Linked DNA regions of Schizosaccharomyces pombe. Changing the gene in region 2 together with the main gene of any one other region gives a genetic interaction. Each region holds a gene or a part of one and is shown on either strand. Other genes may lie near its edges.

Evidence for each region.
Region 1: of duf89 (region 2) and pho7, changing one suppresses a phenotype caused by changing the other (phenotypic suppression), as found in Schizosaccharomyces pombe (one study listed by BioGRID).

The regions. Positions count from the first base shown.
Region 1 is NC_003423.3:1,344,568-1,349,576, forward strand, and holds pho7 (transcription factor Pho1), read right to left. Parts: upstream 3,408-5,009; 5' UTR 2,899-3,407; coding exon 682-2,898; 3' UTR 545-681; downstream 1-544. Other genes in the region: protein Cbp4, read left to right, coding at 3,813-3,849, 3,937-4,055, 4,234-4,296.
Region 2 is NC_003421.2:823,284-828,168, forward strand, and holds duf89 (cobalt/nickel-dependent phosphatase), read left to right. Parts: upstream 1-1,714; 5' UTR 1,715-1,821; coding exon 1,822-1,852; intron 1,853-1,959; coding exon 1,960-3,257; 3' UTR 3,258-4,369; downstream 4,370-4,885. Other genes in the region: SPOM_SPCC1393.12 (uncharacterized protein), read left to right, coding at 396-722.

The sequences.
Region 1 (5,009 bases), on a different chromosome or scaffold from region 2:
CAAATTAATTATATATGCGATCGTGTTTATCACATTCACAACGAATGAATGCAAGTGTAATGTCAAGCCATTATACCAGGATATCCAAACTGGTATAAATTAATAAGATTAATAATGACAAAAATCTCTTTACAAACTCTAAAACGGAAAAAGAAGCAAATGAAAGTTGAATGCACAATAGGCTAAATAACAAAACGTTTATAACAATAGCAGTAAAAATAAGAAAACGACACACTTAAATGGTACAAATACTTAGAAAATCACATATAGTAACTTCTTTCGTCATCTGTACGATCACATTTATCCCAAAACGACTTTCTTTCCCAAAATATACCCAAAAATAAATATAAATAGACACAAAGAAAACGAAAGATAAAACATTCTTAATCAATGTAAGCAGAATACAAGACAAAAAGGGCATCCATAGTATATCAAAATTACTAGACCGATATTAGAAAGATAGGTCCAGATGGCAATTTGGCAAAGAGAGAGAGAAGAGTAAAAAAAAAGTAATAAATGGGAGTAAAAAATCATTTTCCTTTTTTTTTCACATTGTCTTACGTTTGATCATAAGATGATCTGTCGTCTGACAATATTCATAGTGTAGGTCAATCTACTGAGAAACACTCAAATGCAAAAACAAAATAAGAAACGAGAAAAACAAAGGTAATATGCGCAAAATTATTGTCTAAAGGGATGATTCTTGAATGAATCGGCTTGGTTTTGATGGAAGTTAGGATAGGTTCCATGATCGACTAGCTCATGAACGTTAAAGTCGGGTCTAATGTCTCGTGTAGGTATATCATGAAATAAAAGCATGGATGTGTACGCTAGCTCCTCCGCATGGGTATCAGGAAGCATATTCACATGATCACCATCATGTTGTTCAAGCCCGCCATCCTGTTGTCCATGTATTCCTCTTAATGAATGGATACATGGTCTTTCTACCACATGCTGTGACGAATCAGTAGCTATTGAAAACGAGTGTATTCTCCCACGCCAAGAAGGTTGATGATCCGGTACATCTTCTTCCTCATCATCAGCAGCTTGGGATTGATAATAATAAGGAACTTGAGACTTGACGGGATTTGGGGCAGCAGGAAACTCCGAATTATGAACGTCTGGATAAAAATGGTGCATTGTTTCCATATTCTTAACAGTACCATGTTGATTTTGTCCAGGCATAGCCGTTTGGTCTATGTGACGGTCAAAAAAGCTAGAATCGTGATGGTTCATTTTTAAATCGGGAACCTCAAAATGGCTCTGCATGGACAAATTTTCGTGGTCATTCGTTTCTAACATCCAATTGTTCACATTCTCAGCGGCAATTGAGCTTTCGTTATACGTCGGTTGATTATGCATTGCATTACCGAGTTCCGTATGAGATAATAAGCCATGGACTTGTTCAGAAGGTAAACCATGGATCTGATGAATTAGCAAAGAAGGATTAGCTACAGAGTGTTGCGCATATTCTCTTAGAAAATGCTCCTCGGTCATACCAACTGGATTAGTAAAACTTCGGTTTCGAGATTTTCGATTAAAAGGCTTTGAACCAGCTGAGGAAGTTCCAGTTTCGTCCATGTTAGATACCGCCACACCATCCATTGATGTTGAATTGAAATGATCATGATGGACAGCAAAAGGAGGAGTGACATTAGGTTGAAAGTTCTTTGAAGCAGATGAAACAAGTATCTGGGGTTGAAGATTTAGTTCTTGTTTAATAGCTGAGGAAGGATACTGGGCCATTCCGTTTTCATCCATCTGTCTGGAAGACATGGCAAACTGATTGTCACTTGAAGGATCCAACATTTTAGAACTGAGAGAATCTTGCGTGGAATGACCAGAAGATGCAGTAGTTGACTTGGTGTTGTTCGAAGTATCACTCAATTTTTTATAAGGGCCTCTTCTAACTCCCGTTGGCCGTTTCTTCCTGGGTAAATCAATGCAATCAGTTTTGGCTTTAATACAACGCTGACAAGGACGAGCGTCATCACATTTTTTGTTGTCTTTTTGACACTTTGCGCAAGCTCTCTTGGCCTGAGGAAGTCTTTTCTTAACTTTACCGGTAGTAGCTTTAGGCTTTTTTATAATTTTATTCACAGTGGAAAGAGGAGGAGTCGTGTTGTTGGAAACGTTTAAACTACGATTAGGAGATGGACTCCCGGCGGATCCAAAAGGTGGCATAGAGGTTTTAGGAGGATCGGGTGCTGAACAAACGCGCTGCAAAGGAGCACCATCCTGATGATGAGCTTGCGCATTTGAATATGCAGTGCCCTCTGGACCATATTGAGAATAGGGAGACAAGTTGTATGGATTTATGTCTGCCTTCACTCCAGCACCTTGTAACTGAAAATAAGCATCTTCAGGACGATAGGGAGAGTTGTTTAAGGGAATCGGAATATTAGATAATGCAGGAGGATTTGAGTAAAAAGTAGGAGAGTTGTTTGAATTAGGGTTAACAGATGCAACCACCCCAGGTGAAAAACTATCAGACGATGGAGAACGATGGTAGTATGGAATTTCGGTATTTTGGAAATGGACGTCTTGAGACTGTTGCATAGAAACAGATCTTGGATAGTATTCACTCATGCCACCGGAGGAAAACCCAGATGCATCCAAGCCAATGTTTCCCACAAACGGAGCATCATTTGGATTTGGGTTTTGCACTGAAAAAGCAGAGGGAGAAGAGATATGAGAGGTGGAAGATGTGGAGGGATGTACAGAGGCAGAATGAGTACCTTCTACTGGGCGGGTAAGCAATTGTTGCATATGATGATTGATGAATTGATATTCTGCATCGTAATCGGGTAATCCATAAGGGAAAGGAACGGAGGACCGCTTGTAATGTGGATCAAGCTCCTCATTCTTAGAAGCAGACTGAACGACTTTCTTCTGCATACAAACGAAAAAGACAAAAGAAATATGATAAAAGTAAAGCCTTAAACAAATGCTCCTTCGTCTTAAGAAAATTTAGGTTACAAAAAGGCAATACAAAAGAATTGGAGACAATGAAAAGTACCAAAATCCCTAAATCAATGGCTCCTTCACTTTCGTCGCTTTTTGTGAATCAGTATGGAGATATGGGCTATATATGGAAGAAGAATAAATGCGTTTGGAATACTAAGATCGTTGTGTAAGAATAAGAAAGAAAACAATCACGCGTAAAAATATCCTTTATGATCAACAACTTGGTACTTTTCTTTTGAAAAAAACCGCAGTTGAGCAACACTTTTTCAAATCAAAGGTGCTGATATGACACGAACGCGGGGGGTAACAATGATAAATTTTTAGCTCAATCTCGTCAAAGCAGTATAACTGTTTACAGATTTAATATCACTTGTAAACACTTGAACGATGAATTCCTGACAAAGATGAGAGATTTTCTTTTATCGTGTTAGGGCGAAGTCGACAGATCTGATTAGCGGTGGCAGCAGTAATAAATTAGCATGTACAGGGTGGTGGGGCATAGCGCAGTAATCGCCTTTAACACTTTACCTTAAAAAACCTTATATTTAAGCTACCACCGCATTGCGGGGAGATACCTTTTTCGACAATCTTAGCGAAACAGCGCTCTGTTCTGTTAAAATAATAAAGATCAATAACGGAATACAGCGTATTTCACAAGGCCTTGCAAACCGGCCAACCATCCATGGAACGTCTATATAGCACGTATAGGGTGCCTTACATAACATCTGTGTCTGCAATAGCATTGCTGTCAAGAGCCTATACTTACTGTTATTTTTTCTCTGTATTACAACCTTTATTATTGTTTGCTTTTTGCAGACTCCATTTTGAATTGTTGTACCTAAAGCATGAATCGTGTGGTTAAAAGTATCGTATACGGTGTTGGTATGGACATTTTGAGATAGGATCGATTTAGTTGAAAAGATTCTATCCCGAACTTAAGATTGTGTTACTTACCAGTATATAAAATAGGAATCGTTGGATTTGGCTATATGACAATGAAATTAACAACTCCATCTCCCGAACGAGTTGTCAATTCACTTCCACCGGATCTTCGAGCTTCTTATGAAATGAACAAAAAAGATCGATCAGTAAGTATACATAGCGAATCTTTTTTAAAACTGTTTGCTCCAGGTTCTGAAGTGGGTTTGGGGGTGCCACAAAAGAGAGAATATTAAGTCTTCCTTAATATTTCCCTTTACCTTCTTCAAACGTGGTGTTTGCTTTCAATGGTTTTTGTTCGTATTCTATGAAACTGACTTTGAGTAGCAAGCCGAAGGTGTTTTACGAATGATTGAAGACGCAAAACGAAATCCTAAAAACCTTGTTTAAGCGAGTATTCTTACTCAATTCATTTTAATTTTATCATCTCAATGTTTCGATCTTCCTCTCTCAAATATATATCTAAAAGTTACTTTCCTAGGACTTACAAAAAAACGAGCGTTTCCCATTGATGGGTCATTTTCAATTTTCTTGTTTCTTCATCGTGCTACTATTGATGATTTCTGATTTTTTTTTTTTTTTCACTTAATCTATCGCGTATTCGTATAAAACCTTACAAAACAAAAAAACGTAACTTGTGCTTATTTGAAAATTAATGATTCATTTGATTATGGATATGAACGATAATGAATGACTATTATCAGACCGTTGTATTTTCAACAGTGTATATATTACTTTTGCCTGATTTGACTCATATCAAGCCCACTATCAATAAAAATGGAAGACTTGTAAGCATCCAGCAACTTCAGCTCTTTTGAAAGCGAAATAAGTCTTTAGTTTCCTCACTTTAAATTTTGGTACTTCTTTCTCAAAATACACGAGAATACATCCAATAGGTAAACACCCCATTTCCACGTATTTGTAACAAAAAACACATTTTCATTTTGAAATCGTCAACGAAACTTTTAATGAAATACCTCGCCCATTCTGGTATTTTGAGAGGCTTATTTCCCAAAAGTATTGATTGTTTACTTGCTAATATACTCATATGAAACGTTTGAAAAAATGATTTGACGAAAACGATAAGTAATATAGATATATTC
Region 2 (4,885 bases):
TTACTTAGTACCTCGAGAAGTTTTGGGGTGACATCAGTCAGACACAAGAATTATATGATGGGTGGGTGGGTTAATACGTATATGAATGATCTCATTTACGTTGCCGTATTGTGCTACTAAAAGTGTTATATATAGAGCAGTGGGAAGTAGAAGTGAGCACTCTTATTAACGATAAAGTTGTGAGTTGAACAAAAGCGACTTACTACTTTGAAATATTGTTTTACTTTACAATTGAACATTTACTAGTGTTCAGGAAAAATCTAATTTTTTTTCGTGCGCTCGATTGAATATTATATCAATCCTTTGTGTTGTACGGAGAAAACCGCTTTTATATAACCTTTCGATTTATTAATTTTTTTTTACTCGGTTAATTCACGAAATCCTAATCGAGCATCATGAATAGGCGTGTTACTCTTGGAGCCTTGGCCGCTGCTGTTGGTGTTGGTTATTATATGACTCGCCATAATCGTCAGGCATCTTCCAGATTGGAACAGAAGAATGCAGAAATCGTCAGAGCCGTGGAAAATGAGGGTCAACGATTTGACAAAGCTGTTGGCGAAACCACTGAAAAGGCAAAATCTTATCTCCAAAGTGGGAAGGAGAGGGTTGTCGATGAACTCGACAAACCTCGTGAAAACGTAAAAAATGTGTTGTCAGAGGCGCAAGCCAAGGGTACTGAACAAGCAGAAGCCCTTAAAAAGGGTACCTCAAAATGGTTTTAAATTGGAAATCCCCAATTCTCGCCATTTAGGGTTATGTGGCAATACTTTGAAAAAATACACACAGGGTTTGTTGTGTATTTGAAAACGTAAAGTGCCTAGCATTGGCTCGTTCTATACCTGCTATCCATTAAGTGTTCTTGTTAATTGTTCCAAACGTATTGCCAAACATTCCGGATCACATCTCGGCAAAGTCGGAGAGATTAAACGTTGTTAACGTTATTCTTTTTTATGTTATTATTAGTTTCTTCTCTCATAAACCAACTGAACCCAAATGATTAGCGATGACAAACAAACGACGATTCCATGGGTTGTCAAAAACACCCTCATAGAAGTTTGCTTTTTTTTGTACAGATAAAAGCGAATTTTTAATTGAAATAATGTTTTTCATGAACGCATAAATGAATGATTGAAATTTTTACATGCATGATTTTCCATTATAGACTGTAAAATGATATTTAAAGTAAGCGATGTGGACTAAGAGTAGTGATAATGCATATGAATACATGCATAGTTTGGATATTATAGGTTTTTCCTAGTTTCCATTATTAAAAAAATAAAAGATTGAAAGGAGTGTTTTGCTTTAATCTGCTCTAGTAGACAGAGTCAAAATTGATATATTTAATAATATTCAAGATGAAGAGATAGAACTCATCAAGTTCGCTTAGATATAACCTTAGCTTACGCGAAAGATGAGAATACTGTAATGCATAGTTTTTTGTTAATTTGAGACAACGAGAGGTATGGAAAATGCCCCTCAGGTGAATTCTCTAAATAAGCTAAAAAGTCAAACGCAAAAAAATGCATTATGCCGGTTTATAGAAGATAAACTTTTTTTTGCTGACAAATATTACGATGGAATTGTCGTTTTGACATTTCTTAGCCGTCGTACCTAATGCTTCTGACTGCTAATCAAGCTCTAAAAAAGCGCAGTTCGTTATACTTCTCTATCCCGTTTTCACCTTCATGACAAGTCCTGCGTATGTATGCATTCTACCATCTTCCATTATTCGCACTTGGGCGTACTCAGCTAAGCTGGTTTTGGCGTATTCATAAACGTGTCTATCCTTCAACAGGAAAATAGGTACCTGAAGAAAATAAGATGGGTCTCAAATTACTTCATCCTCCTAAACGTATGTAACGGTTTAGCTAGACATATAAACAAACTTGAGGATTCTTAGTTGGATGCTCGAGCATCGTATAGGTAGATTAAAACCGCAAAATAACTAACTTTATACAGCTTATGCGATGACCAGTGACCCTGAGTCGTATGCTTCGGTATGTGTCATGAAAAAATGGCCTATTATAGCTACGAATGTGATTGACGAGGTTTCTCGAAACATATCAAAGGCATTGGAGGCGGGAATGTCCGATAAAGCTGCTTATGTTACTCAAGGAAAGGAAATAATCAGCCTTCTTAATCAACTCAAATATGATCTTCAACACAATCGCCCTCTGAAGCCGCTTGTCGGTCAAGGGCCTGATATTGATGACTATAATGAGGAGTTGGAACAAGTTGGTCCATTGACTTGGGGCGATGCTCCCTGGCTTTATGCTGGATGCTATTTTTATCGTATCATGAGTCTTTTCTTTCAAGCCCGTTCTGAGTGGAATCGCCATGACCCCTTCTTTGAACAAAAGGACTTCACATTACGTTCTAGCAAGTCGGCCATTGAAGAATTTGCCAAAAGATATGTACACCTGAACAGTGAACTTGCTTCTATTCAAGAAAACAAGGATGACAAGGCTGCATACATGATTTTTGTAGAAATGGCGGAAATTTCACTTTGGGGCAACGCCATTGATCTGGGACTCTTAGTAAATGCTACCTACGAACAATTACAAAGCCTTCAGGGGCAAAAAGCTGTTGAGGAATCCCAGAAAAACATTTTAGTGAATGATTTCCCCAAAATTTGGTCGAAACTTTCAAAAGTTCGTCATGGTCGCATCGATTTTGTTCTTGATAATGCGGGATTTGAACTTTTCGTTGATCTTTTATTCGCTACTTATCTTTTGAAAACAGAAATAGCGGAAACAATTATTTTACATCCGAAGGATGTACCCTGGTTTGTTTCCGATGTCTTAGTCAACGACATCCCCCATTTATTTAACAGCTTAACTTCTTATTTTTCAGGCGAAGGTGTCCAAAAATTAGCCTCTGATCTTGCGGAGTTTCATGCGGAAGGAAAAATTGTAATTCGACCCAATCCTTTTTGGACTACTGCTCATTATTTTGGACGGCTACCTGATGTTGCTCCTAAACTTTTATCTGACTTAGAACAATCAGATATGGTCATCTTTAAAGGAGATTTGAATTTTCGCAAGCTCACCGGCGATTGTGAGTGGCCTCATACAACACCTTTTGCGGAGGCTCTTGGTCCAATTGCTGGAAAATTCAATATTTTGGCTCTTCGTACGATTAAGGCGGATGTGGTGGTAGGGCTTGGAAAAGGCGTATACGAAGAAATTGCCAAGGATAATCCTCATTGGGAAAGGACTGGTAAATACGCCGTCGTTGAATTTTGTCCCAAAGACTAAAAATTTCTAACATTTTAATTTAATTGACATATGGCTGTGGTTGGAAGTATCTTAATTCTGCTGCGTTCTTTTTTTTTATTTTTTTTTCTCTTTTTTTCTTTCACTCGTTTTTGGGCTATTGGACTCAATATATGGAACCTCACGGTGATAAAGTCGCAGCAGAATAAATCAAAAGGCAATAATGAATTTTTTTTATCTCCTTTTCTTCTACTATTACTGTCAATACATACCAAACTGAATTACAAATACCCTTGCATAACCTCGAAAGTATAAAAAACAAATGTCTTTCATTTGGTGCTCACGCCCAAACGTTAAACCAGCAACAATTTGTGTTAATTTCTCTCCCGCTTTCTTTTACAGATATCAAGTTTCAAAAATACCAAGTATTAACAAAAAATAAATACTTGGATTTTGCAACGACTATTTACAATCCTTTACATTTTTCTTTAACTTCTGTGATTTTCTATGAAACGCAGTTGACATGATTTTATTTTTCTCTTTATTTTTTTTTAAAAAGAAGCAATGTCTAGTATTGTTGAAATTTTAGCTTGATGTTTGTTGAAGCAAATCATCATTTTGCAAGCTGAATGAGCCCGAGTGTTACTTCTATTTACTATTAATCTATCTGATTTTGTATTGCTTTAGGTGTTAAGATCATGTAATCTTTGGTATACAGAAGGTTATGAAACTGGAGGTTCAATTTTGCTTTTCTTTTTTTTTTTTTTTTTTTTTTTGAAAAAGCACGCATCTCACAATAAATCAATAATTTTTGTAGCTCTTTCTAATTTTATATATAAACGTGTTTGTCTTCTTTGCAAATGAGAAAGACTTTGTCTTGATTTTCCTGTTTATTTATTTACTTTCTTTTTTCTGTTACATTGTTCTTTCGGCATTTTCCGTTCAAAAGTTACTCTTTATTTTAAGGTACTTAGAATTTGGTGAATCTTTAGTTTTCTTTTCTTGTTGCTAATTCAATATTGATGAATTTCGTTGCTTTTTAAAAATATTTATTTATTTATGTTAGCATTCGTTTTCGAAGTCTTCAGCAAAATTTCAATAGTTCAATAGATCTTTTTGCGTGCCAATTGAAAAAAAAAACGATAATAATAATAATAACCATAATGGAATGAGCATCGTTTGATTAAACAACAACATCAATCCGTTTACTAAATGAATCTATATCCTATGCCATCTTATAAGTAAAAAATGAAGATACAAATTACAGCACTCTGGTGGAACACGATAAACCGATTAAGAATTTATTATTCAGCAGACGTTATTTAATTTTTGATAATCTCTGCTCCACTTTGCTAACGTAACGACTCGTCATTGTCGATGTCTTTAACGACCTTTGTTACGGTCCTTTAAAAAGTTTAACCAATAAGGCCGAGGCCATCTTTGAGCCAAAATATACCATCAAATTTCACTTTGCCTCTTCACATACCCAATTCCTTAGGGATTTTTAAAATTTTAGAGTATTAGTGTTATTCACTTGTTGTTACGCATATTTTTATAGACCTGTTTATTCCCCAAGGTTTACTTGTGTAATTCCCTTTTTCCGAGGTCGAAAAGTGAAATTTCTTATGATTTAATGAGTACATTAAATTGATTAAGAAATCAAGGAAGGG